Lytechinus pictus: one gene and its partner. The protein of the gene in region 2 purifies or fractionates together with the protein of the main gene of each other region. This does not show direct contact. Links are inferred from orthologs where the notes say so. Each region holds a gene or a part of one and is shown on either strand. Other genes may lie near its edges. The genes, in order: ubiquitin-fold modifier 1 and CDK5 regulatory subunit-associated protein 3-like.

Region 1 (8,069 bases), on a different chromosome or scaffold from region 2:
TTTGAGTTATGTACTGAAATAAGCTACTTATGTTCAAAGTAAACTGTAAATAATAGTAATACTAATGAATTTAAACTAATTTTGTATTGTGACAATTTTTAAACAGTATTATATAGGTGACTGTAAAAGTGGCATGCAATTTTAATAATGATTCCTGAATTATGTTTTCCAGGTTTTCCAGCTGACAGACCATGTTGACGGATAAAAAGCTTCATGTCATTGAAAAGGGATTTCAAGGATGGATTGAGAAAGAAGGTTGCAAGTACCCACCCCCCTGGTTTATGTTGCAATAATCTTTGTCATAAAGCTTGTGGACTGCCCAAAATTAATATATTTGCAATATACATAATATCATACTCTCACTCACCACCAGGGACCTGTTCATAAAGGGTTATAACTATTTTAACTTTGCCAATATTTTACCTATCATGATAACCTTGATTGTGATTGGCTGCTAACCATGTTAGTGGTACAAAGTTGGAATAGTTGTAGACCTATCTTTTTATGAAACAGGCCCCAGATTGGCCTACCAAATTGATCTGGGAAGGAAAACACTTAAATAAAATTTTGACAAGACAAAATTAGTATTTATTGAAGTTTATTTTAACTGTCTACAAACGTTTATTACTGATTGTATACTACATCAACATAATTGTGTTGCTATAGGAACAACTGTTCAACAAGGAAATTTATTTGAAATTGTAAATCTCGAAACGAAAAAAATTGAAGTTTGCGTACAATTTTGTCCACCTTTGGTGTTTTCAATGATTCTCAAAATATGTTGCACCGTTTTAAAAATGAAATGCCTTGCATTTATTTTCAATTTTTCATAAAGTAACAATTTCAAATGATTAAAAAATGAGGTGTAACCATAGCAACCACTATATATGTTCCAGAGAGAGAGAGAGTATTGTTTGGAGACAATATGTTTCCTGTGTGGCATATTACTTTCTGACATGAAATATACTAGTACATTCCTTTCTTGATTATAAATACAATTTAGCATTGGTATTTATCGCTAATTAATTCAGGGATTGCCATGGAATCATGAATTATTATCATTCCAATGAACCCATGCAGAAAACTTAATTTGTGTTCAAAGTAAAATGAGATGTTAAAACCATATGCATGGAAGTTAAGTTCTTTTTCTTGCATTTTCCAACATTACCTTTTCACACTCTGCTATTTGTTTAGCAAATTAGATGTTATTTGGTTGCCATGGTAATATCCAAAGAAGATACATGTATATAATACATGTTCAACACTCAAATACGGTGAAAAAGGTTTATTTTACAATTTTTCTCAAATCTATTCTATTTTGATAAAAAACAGTTACCATGGCAACAGGCAATGTAACATTGGTATTCATTGTTGAAACATTGGTTACCATGGCAACAGCAATCTTAGCATACCATTGAAGTCATACTGAATACTTATTTTGCATTTAAAATTGAATAGTGGGTCAAACTCACAGATGTATATCTAATTTAGTGATTTTCAACGATTATCTTTTCCAACCATCTTTTTATTTTTGTTTATCTAATTATGTGTTATTTGGTTGCCATGGCAATGGTGCAAGATGGTATTAATATATTTAGCAACAAGCACCTACTTTCAGCACCCTCACATTAGGGAAAATTCAAAAGAATTCATCATATTTTACATCTTTACTAATTTTTATCTTTTTTGGGGGGTAAAAAGAGGCCGTTACCATGGTAACAGGAAATCTGAACTATTTCAATGGCCTTAAATGTTTGTAAATTCTATTCTTATTGAATAAGAAACTTGAAATTAACCAAATGGGTAATTTTGCCATGTTTATCTACCGTTTACAGGGGAATACATGCTATTTTTGAGAAATTAATCCGTTGCCATGGCAACAGTCGAAGATGGCATTTATAAATTTGGCAACAAGCAGATTCATGTTCAGCACCCTCAAAATAGGGGAAATAGCACAAAAAATCAGATTCTACAGAAAATTTTTGGTAACCTTTAATATTATGACGAGGAGCTGTGTACTATATACAGCATGGGCGAAAATCATTTTTGAAAAGCACCCTAAACGGGATATCAGGAGCGGTAGTTTTGTTACCCTAAATGGGAAAAATCACTTTAAATCACCCTACAGGATCAGTAGTTTTGATACCCTAAAACCGGGACCCTAATCGGGATTTTTTTTTTCAATATTCAATTTCATACCGGCCCTTGACGGATAGTTTATCTTGAGTGTTATTTAGTCAAGCAATTGCTCGTTCGCTACGCTTTCTCGCGTATGAAGAAGTTGAACGCCTGGAGAGGGTAACAACACAGACCTCCTCATTGCCAGTCTTGTCCCCCTTATCATGGAACTAAATCACTGGTCCAAGGTGTTATACATGTTGATGTGATTTTATTTCGCTCGGTCGATCGCTACGCCCCTCGCATAACAACTGAAACTAATGGGCCAATTTTCCTTGTATTCAAATGACCAACGTCACGCATTTATCTAGAAGACCCCCCCAAAAAAATGAAAGAGAGGAAGAAGAACAACAACAACAAGATGAAGGAAGAGGAGAAGAAGAATTAAGAAGATGAAGAAGAAACAGGAAACGCAACCAACATCTGGGATTTGTTGATGTTTTCGAGTAGCCTAATCACTTTGAATATTTTTTTATTCTGTCATTTTCCAGCATTCTCTGGAAGTCATTTCAATCAGACTCTAAAAAGGAGTTTAATGTGATTGACTTGTATAATTTTAACCAAAGATCAGTGTAAATTGTTATTGTTGCAAATCTAAGCAATATAGTGTCCCTCTCCCGATTTTTAAAGCCTTGTATTTTTTTACCAAAAAAAATGAAAAGGTATAATCCCAGTTATTCAAAGCAATGCAAATATATCAAATTCAACACAAAACACTGTGAAAACAAAATCAATTTGGTGAATTTTGATTGGTCTGTTAGATGACACGTGCACAGCAGGGATGTGGGACCAATTTTTTTCCTGGGGTGCTGAAAGCATGACAATGTCTATTGCATGTCAGAATTCTCTGGCAAGCAAAAAAAAAATCAGCAATTTTCGGCCGTGACTCTTCACTCTTCCTCTGAAATTCACGGTTGTCCTGAAAACAGATAATGTCGGGTTTATCAGCAATTTTGGGGGCAGTTTTGGGTCTGAAACGGTCACTCTTTTAGGCTACTATGTTTTATATATCTTTTACATGTTTTAGTAGCCCCCATAATATAATCACACCACTGGCGTAAATCCCGGGGGGATGGGGGGGGGGAAATATCCCCTCACTTTTCGAGGAGGGGGGGGGGTGGCCTGTACAAACATCCCCCCCCCCCACTTTTTACGAAAGAAATGAAAAAAAAATCACAAGAGATAATTGTTTTACTGGTGAAAATTCTTCCTAAAATACCGCTTAACAAATAAAACAATATTATTGAATCATAAAAGGCAAATAAAGAGCCATTTCACCATTTCCAAACGAAATACCTTTGTCCTTATTATAACATTTAAGAGAAATCCCTGTTTCTTCCAATTCATCAATGTTGGGGTCTTTGGGAAGGGATTACGATGGAATGTCAAAAAATTTTGAATGTAATCTCTAATAAAACCATTAAACCATCATGGGGTAAAAAAGATAATAATATTGGAGGGGTATTTGCCATATGGACATACAGTGGCGTAACTACGGGGGGCATGGGGGCACATCCCCCCCCCCCCCCCCATCGGCTGACAAAAAAACGGGGAAAGGGGGAAAGGAGAAAAAAGGGAGAAATGAAGAGAAACGTAGTGGGAAAGAAGAAAATATTCATTATAATGTTATATTATATTATAATTATGTTATGTTACATTACAACTTTATAAAACATAATTTGCCCAGGGCCTACGTCTTTTTTTATTATTCCTGGTGCTCGCATTGTCTGTTTAACGAGATATATAATCCTGTTGTACTAAAACATCCCGTTTTCAAGTCAATATAAACCAAATATATTCCTAGCACTTGAGTTATCATTGTTTTATGTAGTGACATATGCTTCTTCTTCATGACTCAAAAGTGATTGCCCCATGTTAAGGTCTTCTTATATATGAAACATTTCCTGTACGTGATTACATTCGCACTTGTGGATTGGTGAGATATGTCTGCTCTTCATGAATTCCTAAAATCAGTCCTTAAAATGTCCCTTCTGAGATGAATATCAAAAATTTTCAGCTCGCGCTTCGCGCTCGCATCATTTGGTTAATGAAATACGTATGGTCCTAGTTAATTCCTACAAAGAAACCTTAGAATGCCCCACTTCAGGTCTGAATTATCTAAGTTTTCAGCTCGCGCTTCGCGCGCGCATTGTTTAGCGAGACAGGTACCTATCATGATTACACAAATTTGATTATATTGTCCCTTTTTAGGTGTGAATATAAAAAATTTCAGCTCGCGCTTCGCGCTCGCATTATTTGATCAGTGAGATACATATCCGTTTAATGACATTGTCCTTAAAATGTCTCTATTAGGTCAGTATAACTGGCAACTTAGCGCGCTTCGCGCACTCACTTAGTGATTCAAAAATTTTACTGGTGCCCCCCTCCCCAATGCCGTGACCCACGGTACGCCACTGTGGACATATCAATGACAATTCCTTGCATATCTAAAAACATGATTGCAAAAAAATGCCAAAATATTTCAGTCATCCCCCCCACCCATCAACACGGATTTACGCCAGTGAATCACACTATGTTCCGCTATCTGGACACATCAATTGGCGGATGTACCATGTACTGTTGGTGACGAATTGTGTCCAGCCTGGCGTTCCATAATTTAGCGCCGCGTTATGTTCGCAATGAATGGTGTAGGATCTTGTCAACTGATCATCTCTTCTACAAGATGTCGACATGATGAGATCCGAGATCTTGTCATCTGATCATCTCTTCTAAAAAATGTCGACATGATGAGATCCGGGATCTTGACATCTGATCATCTCTTCAAAAGGATGTTGACATGATGAGATCCGGGATCTTGTCAACTGATCATCTCTTCTGAAAGATGTCGACATGACGATATCCGGGATCTTGTCATCTTATCGTCTCTTCTAAAAGATGTTGACATGATGAGATCCGGGATCTTGTCATCTCATCATCTCTTCTAAAAGACGTTGACATGATGAGATCCGGGATCTTGTCATCTCATCATCTCTTCTAAAAGATGTTGACACGATGAGATCCGGGATCTTGTCATCTCATCATCTCTTCTAAAAGATGTTGACATGATGAGATCCGGGATCTCACCATCTGATCTTTTGCTATCATGATGTCGACTTCCCAAGATAATTATCTCAACATCTCGGTGGCACTTTTAAGCTTCCATAGTACACTGCATGCCGTCAGAGTGGTCAAACGCATGCCGTGTATTACTGCCCTCTACGTTCGTTGAGAAATAATACAGATCTAGAGCTTTCACAGCGCAGACTTTGCAGAGACTTTTAGAATGGCGTAAGTTCTTGTTTATTTCGTATTTGTGTTCATCACTTTATCAATTTACATAATTGAAATGATTATTCCGTAATTTCGTGTTATCTCTTTCTGTAGGTCGAAAGTGACTTTCAAGATAACGCTCACTTCGGATCCAAAACTTCCCTTCAAAGTGTGAGTAGTATACCGTATGTTCAGTTATCTTTTGTAACCATTGTCCCATATAGTCATAGTGATGTAGGCTACCTCGAGCGAAGTTCGTGCAGGCTCCAGACTCCAGAGAACAAGGTTAAATCAAAACCTTGTTCATAGAATGAGTGCATGCGATTGTGCAGGTCAAACAGCATAAATATTATATTATATTGGATGGTTCAGAAAATACCAGAAATATTCTAAGAGTTTGGGAAAATATTCCACTGATTCGTGGAATAAATCCTCACCTTTCACATTATTATGATGGTGGGCCCTAAGTCTGCGCACCTAACAATTTGAGTTAAGATTTAACATGAATTTCTTCTTATTTCACAAAATCTTTTGGATAATAATGTTCCTTATATTATTGAGAGTAAGTATACCAAATTTCTCATTAAAAAATGAAAGAAAATATATGATTTTCTTGAAAAAACCTTGGGCAATCATTTTCAGATTGAAAAAAAAAATGGTACCCCATGTCTGCGCACTCATTCACTTTGCACACGATTCGGAGATTTTTATGAGAAAGGCTGTATTTTGAGGCCGTCACATGAAATGCCCTGAATTCATTATTTTTTCACCATTTTGAGTCGGATTTTTTTATGAATACCTGTCTATGTATTGCATGTGTAAAGTTCATGCTCGTTGCGTATCTTCTTTTACTAGAATCGCGCAGATACGCGGGTGCGCAGACTTGGGAGACCGCGCAGACATGGGGGAACTGACCATACTATTAGTACCTAGGCCTAGGCCTATTAGCATTATTTTACGGTCAAATGAAATTTATCGATAATTTGGGGGTTTAATTATTGGACATCGTTTTCAGCAGTCAACGATTTTTGCCTATCTGCCATTTTGGATTTCAAGACCTCGATATCGTGCTGTTACATTTTCTTGCGCCCTTTCTCACCCATGAGAATAATTATTTAGGCCCCCTACGTGAAATCAAACTGGGTGAGGTAGCTCACTCACCCTTTTCCCCATAGGCATAGTAGGGTGAGCTACCTCACCCTGTTTGATTTCACGTAAATAATTATTATAATGGGCAAGAAAGGGCACAGGAATTAAGAAAGACTACTTTTTAATATAATCAGGTTAACAACTTTTTGAAATATATGCTGGAAAATACAAAATTTTTATGACAAACACACAGTCAGGCCTGGCCAGGTTCTTTGATCGTTCGTCGTCAAGAAATTGTTATAAGTTAGAGTTACCTGCTTTGTCACATAATTTCATGAACAATGTCAATGCATCAATCAATCAAAAACAAAAGATAAAGTTAGAATTTTTGCACAAGAAAATGGGAATGTATCATGAATAATAATAATGATAATATGGTCCATATAGCGCAGCTACCGTACTACAATTGCATATACTCTACGGCGCTTGATACTTGGTATCATATTATTACCCCGGCTGTAGCTGAGCCACCATACAGGTGCTAAAGCATTCAAGGAATAAATCCTACTGGGTAGCCATTCACCTCACCTGGGTCGAATGCAGCACAGTGTGGGTAAATTTCTTGCTAGAGGAAAACACCATGGTTGGGACTCAAACCCATGTCCCTCTGATTGACAGACGGGAGTCGTAACCACTAGACCACAATGCGCCCCCCCTGATGATGCATCTGGTCAGTCACTTTCACTGAAAATTTTGGTGTGAGCCAATCAGATGCAAGTATTTTCAGTAGCTTGTGAAAAGAAGGCAGTGAAAATCATTAATTTGTTTCATGAAATGTTCCCAAGATCCTCAGTCATTAATAATGTCATCAATAGCTTTATAAAACACCACCATGATATTTTTACATTTTCAGTTTCATTTTCCATTTCAAGTCAATTTTTATTTGTAGTCTGGCCATTACATTTAAAAGTTTGAAATTGTTTTATTTTCCTGCAGACTAAGTGTACCAGAAGCAACACCATTTACAGCTGTACTCAAGTTTGCTGCTGAAGAGGTATGTGATTTGATTGTCTTAGTCACTTTCAGTATAGATGAATTTATAAATCTACTTTAAAAGGGAATCCAACCTTGGTCATAAAATGTTGTCTGAGAGAGGAGAAAAATAGGAAAAACAGAATGGTGAAAGTTTGAAAGAAATCGGACAAGCAATAAGAAAGTTATGACTGTTTCATAATTGAGATCTCTAAAGACCCTAAAACTGTAAATTTCAAATCACATAGGCCATGTGGTTTTTTCTCAAGTACCTATTCCCATAGGGCAGTAATCCAAATATAACCAATGTAGCACAATGCTTTATATCCTCATGAAACTTTTGAAAGAAATATATAGTTTGAAATAAAACTTTTGAAAAAAGAATGACAATTTAACAATTGTATGTACTGGAGTATATGGGAGGACCAATTTGAAGTCTCCAATGGTACAGCAATCACAAATTTTTACAACTTTTAAAAAGTCATAACTTCCTAAATTAT
Region 2 (7,989 bases):
AACTTATTTTTCTATTGAAAATTATCACAAAATTCACCAAAAGTGTGCACGAAAGCCTTCGTATTTCACTTTTAAAACTCCCAAAAGTGCCCAAATGACAAGCTTGGTCGCTTCGCTGTGTCGCTTTCAACTTGAGAACGTTTACGCGTCGATCTGCTTCCCCCCCCCCCCCTCCTCCGAAAGAAATTCTGTATACGGCCATGCTCTAAAGAGCCTGGCACATTGATTTATGTATACTTCATTTTCATTATTTTTATCTCATTATCATCATGGCCTTACGCAGAATTTTTTCCGGGGGGGGGGTGGGAGGAGCAGGACGCGCGTAAACTTTCTCATAAAAATCTTGAGAAAGCGAAGCGACCAAGCTTGTCATTTGAGCTTGGTCGCGTCGCTGTCTCGCTTTCAAGATTTTTTTGAGAAACTTTACGCGCGTCCTGCTCCTCCCACCCCCCCCCCCCCCCGGAAAAAATTCTGCGTAAGGCCATGTTGATAATGAGATAAAAATAATGAAAATGAAAGTATACATAAATCAATGTGCCAGGCTCTTTAGAGCATGGCCGTATACAGAATTTCTTTCGGAGGAGGGGGGGGGAGCAGACGCGTAAACGTTCTCAAGTTGAAAGCGACACAGCGAAGCGACCAAGCTTGTCATTTGGGCACTTTTCGGAGTTTTAAAAGTGAAATACGAAGGCTTTCGTGCACACTTTTGGTGAATTTTGTGATAATTTTCAATAGAAAAATAAGTTTTTAAAAATTTAGGGGTCATCATGCCCCCGTATTGTCGTTGCGAGCATTTTGGGGCCAGGGTGAAATCGCCCCAAACGCCTCAAACAGACACTCCAAAATGTATTTGAAGTGCATTATTAGAACTGAAACTTATCTCTACACCAGGAAAAATTAACTTAACAAAAAAAGCAACAAGAAATATTTATAAAAAGTAGAAGGGCCTGTACAAGTACACTGATATTTCACTCTCTCAGCTCATATGCACTTGATCGACTTCCATCGAGGATTCGGGCTAAATTCCGCCCGCCACTTCCGGGGACCAACCAACGTAGTATTTCGATGAAGAGCACTCCGTCGATTCACCGGTTGTCCCTACCGTACACGCGCGCCTATGGGGATTGTGAACTGTAGGAAAAATCGTATAAAATTACACTTTTTGATATTTCTACGAAGACGAAGTTATATAGAAAATGAAGAATATTACAATCAGACCATATCCCTAGAAAATTGCTTCAAGAAATGTCATTATGAAGAGGAAATGGACAAAAATTTGTGAAGAAAAATCACGAAAAAGGAAATCGCATCATGAATATTCATATCATGGGCGGTCCCACATTTGCATGTTATAGCGAGTTTTCCATTATTTAATAAATAATGGCATTATTTAATAAATAATGGCATTATTTAATAAATAATGGCATTATTTAATAAATAATGGTTATTTGTATATAAATAATGATTATTTGTATATAATGGCAAACTGTAAAAATTGTTTATAAATAATGATTATTTATAAATAATGGGATATTGAAACAAAATTATTATTTATAAATAATGAAGTAGATATTTCATTATTTAACAAATAATCTTTATTTATAAATAATGGAAAACTCGAACATTAAATAATGATTATTTATAAATAATGAGAATAATGGTGCACTCGAAAAAATTATTTATAAATAATGAAGTAGACGTTTTCATTATTTAACAAATAATCATTATTTATAAATAATGAAAAACAAATAATCATTATTTGTAAATAATGAAAAACAAATAATCATTATTTATAAATAATGAAAAACAAATAATCATTATTTATAAATAATGAAAAACAAATAATCATTATTTATAAATAATGGAATGTCGAACTAATATTATTTACAAATAATGAAGTATTACTTGGAATTATATATAAATAATTAGAAATGATATTTTATATAATAGTAGTTATTTACAAATAAAATGTAAATTATATATAAATAATAGTTATTATTTAATAAATAATGATTATATAACAAATAATTGTTCTATATAATAATGGTACATTCGGCGCCTCATACCTCTATGCCCCCATCCCCTTCAAATCGATCCGTTTTTGTTATTCCGCGATACCATACCGTAGTAATCTCGACGACAAGGGGCAACTCATAGAGATGTATATTAGTAACGCTAGAGGGCGTACTTCGTCAAATCGCTGTGATTACGTGGAGACCGTCCGCCATTGCTCGATAGGTATTCGCAGCCTGCCATGCGCGTACAGTACCTATGGGGCATGTACACGGATGAGCACAGAACATGACAAATTGATGACATATGAGCACGAAAGCATATGGAAAAGCAAAATTGTAAATATTGCACTGGATTAAAGTTCAAATACAACAAAAATCTAGCAAAACTGAGGTCAAAAGGCCTATATAGGCCTATCTATAGCGCATAATATAGGCCGATACAGCTATAATACAGGCAAACGATTTAAAGTCCCAATTGTTTTTGCTTAGGTAAAATTTCGATACATTAATATGACTTCTATTTTCTAATGATTTGGAAGAGATGAATATCAAAAATAACATTTAGGCCTAGGTCCTGATAAATAAATTTAATGTGTTTTAATATGATTTGATGTACATTAACCTAAGAAAATTCATAGGCCATATCACAGTGTCTGATGCATCTGAGACGCTGTATCGAAAAAAAAACCACGATTGTATTTTTATAGTTCATAGTTTCCTAATTACTATTATGCTGATTGCTGATAATTTATTTCTTCACTTTAGATAATTGTTATAATTCATTTTCCATATATATCTACACAATAGGGCCTATAATAACTCGATCCCTTTTCCCCATGTCTTACACGCTGATGTAAACCAACATCACAAAAACTCGCGAATCATAAAATGACTTTTTATTGATATTTGGAGATGATTTACGCATTGATTCAGTTAAAAATTGATGATTTAGATTTCCTTTGCTGGCAACCATCCCATCATATTTATAAATATGTATATAAAAGTATACTTTCTTACTTGCGATCAATGTATAGAAAAGTTTGTTGACAGCAAAATTTGCATATCAAATGCGCGCATGCAGTCGTACAATTTTGCAATGTACAGGAGGCCTAATGGGGGGTTGGATGTTTATGTACAGTGTTATTGCCTTGCAAACATTTTAAAACTTCGGAGAGTAAACAAATCACAATGCGCAAAACAATTTTACTTTGATTTTCTGGAAAGTATAGACTTGATTCTCCCCGGCTGAAAATATGCTGATCGGCAAACTGGCTGAAATATTTTGTTTATCACCGTTGTTTCTGATCCTATAATGATTGGACCAATATCATGTGAACAAATCAAGGATAGAATAATAAGGAGAGGAAGAAGGGGGAGAAGGAGAGAAGAAAAGGGGCGGGATTATGATATATAATTTGTATTATACTATAAAGAATATTATTACTACTGCAAGAGTGTATAAAACTAATATCATGAAAGACATCAATGCAAACTTATCATAATTATGAAAACGGTTGCAAAATTGTGAGTACTAAAAACAAACATAATTATGAAACAATAATATTGCAAAAGTGACAATACTTGGAATAAGATATTAAAAATCCTAATTTAATCTCAAATTTGATACCTGCCTTGAAATTGTGTTAATTAACTGTGTCTGTGTCGCTTAAATAAATGAACTTTATGGCAAATATTTGTAAGCACTGGCACCGGCCTAACATATAAACAGATAAACACGCGTTTTGAATATCCAGTTTTGTTTTTCATTTTAAAAGTATAACTGAATTTGATTTTCTAGTTTTCTCCCTTTAATGTCATTTGCTGGCCTATGGACCTGAGTTTGGTTATTCGATCAGTTTTTTTAAAATAAGATTTCCATGGATGAACAAAATTATTATATTATGTTACGGCGTCGCGGAATGATTTTGAAAGTGATGGGGTGTATAAAATCACAATCATTTATTATGTGTAATGTTCATTTTCATTTCAGGGAGGGGTCCGGTCGCGCCCCCTGTATTTTATTTTGATCAGTATGTTAAAGCGAATTTGCTTAGGTGTGTTTGTTATTTTAATTGCACACACGGCCCCTAAAAAGCGAATTAAAACAAATCTAACTTAAAGTGAAGGGAATTAAAACTGTCATTTTTGAAAAGTTTGAACAAATTAGGCTATATTCTCGACATTTTAAATCAATATTTTATTTTCGGGCCATATAGGCCTGCAGATTTTGGAGAATTTATTATGTTCCTATAAGAACAAAATCAGCACGTTCACCAAATAACACAAATTTCAACATTGATGGTGTAACGGGAGGCTCACCAAGAACAATAATGAGATGCCCTTTAATAGCGCTTGTAGATCAAAACACTAACTTATACAGAATTATTGTACAACTTAATATATAAAAATGATAGGCCTATATTTCATACAAATTAAAGCAAGTTACATATCATGTAGGCCTATATAGAAATTACAAAATTATATCCAACATAAACATAGAATCAAAGGACGTATATGTGGGAAGGATGGAAGGAGGACGATGCAGTTAAAGGTAGGGAAATCCAGAGAAGGGCTAATTCACTGCAGTCTTTTGAATTAATTGTCAATCTTTCTATTAATGTCCGCTGTATGTTTTTATTTTTATATGATTGTTTATATGATAGTATATCAACATTGTTATCTATTACAGGCCTATAAACGGACAGGTAAATGCAAATTATTTAGAATTTCATCCCGAGAAATCAGGTTTTTAAAATGCCAAATTAATAGCATAATCCCCATGTAATCACTCTAATAGTGTATTGAGATGCAATTTGTCATTCATATTTTCGATTTTTATGAGGTTGTGTTCTTTTCTTCAAGATTAAAGGCCGGAGACGGCACCCCTTTTCACAGCGTTACAACGCACGAGCTATGGGTACATCCGGGTACTTTTGCGAATCTATACCTATCGAGCAATGGCCGCCACGCTCCACACAATCACAGACGTTAAGTACGCGCGCCTATGGCGACTCCGCACTCTAGCGTAGTTAGTATACATCTCTATGGGGCCGGGGCAACTCGACATATGCGACAAAATGCAGGTGAATATAAAAATGTTTGTAATTGTACCTTTATTGCTCGTGTCTTAGAATTTATTCTATGTAAACAAAGTCACTAATCACTTGGTTATAATTTTCTATGCAGGGAACAAAGAATGGAGAGTTGACGGCCCAACAAATCGAAAATCTCCCGATAGATATCAGCTCCACTAAACTACTTGGTATGTATCAGTCCCATGTGTGCATTTCTGTGGTGTGGGATAAAACAAGTCTCTTGAATATTTAAAACGATATCTAAAACAAGTCTCTTAAATATATTTCATATTGTGATTAGGATGGTATACAACCGTTGCAAGGCTATAGTTACCTTATTCTTACCATATATAAAAGACTTTGACACTGACCCTGCTGACTAAGATACTGCTGACATAAAATAGACAGTCATTTGGTAGGCCTATTTACTATTTTAATATTAAACAGCTGGCATGGCAGCCGTCTGTTTCGAGGAGTTTTTTAACATTATTTTTTTTATATTTCTCCTTGTATACAGACGGCTCACTATCGTGGGCCACCATAAGGGGGTTAACAATGCAAAATCCGCCTGTCGGGGCTCATCAATTTTTGTCTTTATTTCATAAAAATGTATAAAAAGAACTTGTCCAAAATAAAGATTATTATTCCGTTTTGGCCTGAAATGCACCAAAACAGGAAAAAATAAACTTAAAAGGGGAAAAAACAGTGGCTTACTTCGGAACAACCAACGTAACAGAAACCGAAGCTTTTGGTCTATTCTGACATCAGCGTTGAAGATTTAGGGAGCCATTGCCCATATTGAAAAAAATTTGAGAGTCATTTTTGTCTCGCCTGCATAGCAGAGTGAGACTATAGGCGCCGCTTTTCCGACGGCGACGGCGGCGGCGGCGTCAACACCAAATCTTAACCTGAGGTTAAGTTTTTGAAATGACAGCATAACTTAGAAAGTATATGGACCTAGTTCATGAAACTTGGCCATAAGGTTAATCAAGTATTACTGAACATCCTGCCTGAGTTTCATGTCACATGATTAAGGTCAAAGGTCATTTAGGGTCAATGAACTTAGACCATATTGGGGGAATCAACATCAAAATCTTAACCTAAGGTTAAGTTTTTGAAATGTCATCATAACTTAGAAAATATACGGACCTAGTTCATGAAACTTATACATAAATTTAATCAAGTATCACTGAACATCCTGCATGAGTTTCACGTCACATGACCAAGGTCAAAGGTCATTTAGGGTCAATGAACTTTGGCCGAATTGGGGGTATCTGTTGAATTACCATCATAACTTTGAAAGTTTATGGATCTGATTCATGAAACTTGGACATAATAGTAATCAAGTATTACTGAACATCCTGTGCAAGTTTCAGGTCACATGATCAAGGTCAAAGGTCATTTAGGGTCAATGAACTTTGGCCAAATTGGGGTATTTGTTGAATTACAGCCATAAATTTGAAAGTGTGTTGGTCTAGTTCATAAAACTTGGACATAAGAGTAATCAAGTATCACTGAACATCCTGTGCGAGTTTCAGGTCATATGATCAAGGTCAAAGGTCATGTAAGGTCAAAGAACTTTGGCCACGTTGGGGGTATTTGTTGAATTGCCATCATATCTCTATAAGTGTATTGGTCTAGTTCATAAAACATGGAAATACGAGTAACCAAGTATCACTGAACATCTTGTGCGAGTTATAGTAGTTTTCAAAATCAGCACTGCTGCTATATTGAATCGCGTGATGCAGGTGAGACGGCCAGAGGCATTCCACTTGTTCATTTTACTGGAGCCATTTTCAGTTTTTGAGAGCCATTCTTTTTTTCATGATTCAACGCATGGTTTACCATCGCAGTTTGTCCTGCTTGTTTACAAATTCATTTAATGTTTAACATTGTTTATTTAATTGACATTTACTTTTCTTCATTGTTATTGACTGTTAATGATGATTTATATTTAATTTTAAATTACAGGATCCGCGCCATATTTCCAGAGCACCCGATGGCTTAGTTCAGATTTAAAAAGTGGGGTCACCAAAAAATATGCTAAGATAAAAAAATCTGTGATTTTGTTCAGAGTTCACAAACTTTATTTTCTAGCAAATTTAGGATGGTATCTTCAAAAACAATAAAAAGCAACTTATTCACCATCAAATTATGGCAAGACAGGTGCCACGTAGCGTTGTGAAAAATACTACCCGGAGATATCGGAGTGTCGGTGAACTGGATACGCATTTTCTGAAGCGCCGACCCCGTGATTCTAAAAAGTCCACTCAGTTACACGTCAGAAAGCGACAATGCATAAAAACTGCAGCTGTGCTGGCCTGGCTTTCTGGCTACTATGCAGGCGTGGATGGGAGACTTGGATGGGTGCGGACGGGAGCAATTTTCATGTTGGGAGTCGCTCCATACTTGGCAGTTTTAGGCAGTGGCAAGAATGATTTCAAAAGCATGCGAGAGCGAAATCGCTTGTCGCTACCGTCTATTTTCAATGCTGACTGACATTGAAAAGTGCCTCTCTCTGTCCTCTGACTGTCCATATTTCAAAAGAATGAAGTTCTCAATGAATGACTTGATCTTGGAAATTCACCCTGCTGAAAAGTTTTGCTTGAAAATACCAGGAAAAAAAGTATGGGAAGGGTTCCTTTTGCGACATCCTCCCAAAGTGAAAAAATATTAGTTAGTGTGGCTATCGCAAAAGGAACTCTTTCCAAAAGTATTGATGAAAGTTTGAGGAAAATGCATGAGGCCTAAAGATAAAAAAGTCAATAGAATTTCTAGTTTTTGATTTGTAACATCATATACGAGCAGTTTCCCTTATGTAGATCATGTAGATCTAATGTAAAATTTATAAATTCAATTTTTTAATGGTTCTTGAAGATTAATTTTTTTCTTTCAGGAAC

The links.
Region 1: the proteins of CDK5 regulatory subunit-associated protein 3-like (region 2) and ubiquitin-fold modifier 1 purify together in Homo sapiens (co-immunoprecipitation; 3 studies listed by BioGRID and IntAct, with this or other methods). This does not show direct contact. The link is inferred for Lytechinus pictus from reciprocal best matches to the Homo sapiens genes CDK5RAP3 and UFM1.

Annotation. Positions count from the first base shown.
Region 1 is NW_026974140.1:3,195,019-3,203,087, reverse strand, and holds the start of ubiquitin-fold modifier 1, read left to right. Parts: upstream 1-4,790; 5' UTR 4,791-5,461; coding exon 5,462-5,466; intron 5,467-5,562; coding exon 5,563-5,619; intron 5,620-7,533; coding exon 7,534-7,591; intron 7,592-8,069. UniProt on the Homo sapiens protein: Ubiquitin-like modifier which can be covalently attached via an isopeptide bond to lysine residues of substrate proteins as a monomer or a lysine-linked polymer.
Region 2 is NC_087247.1:22,753,620-22,761,608, forward strand, and holds the start of CDK5 regulatory subunit-associated protein 3-like, read left to right. Parts: upstream 1-4,957; 5' UTR 4,958-5,059; coding exon 5,060-5,098; intron 5,099-5,201; coding exon 5,202-5,277; intron 5,278-7,989. UniProt on the Homo sapiens protein: Substrate adapter of E3 ligase complexes mediating ufmylation, the covalent attachment of the ubiquitin-like modifier UFM1 to substrate proteins, and which is involved in various processes, such as ribosome recycling and reticulophagy (also called ER-phagy).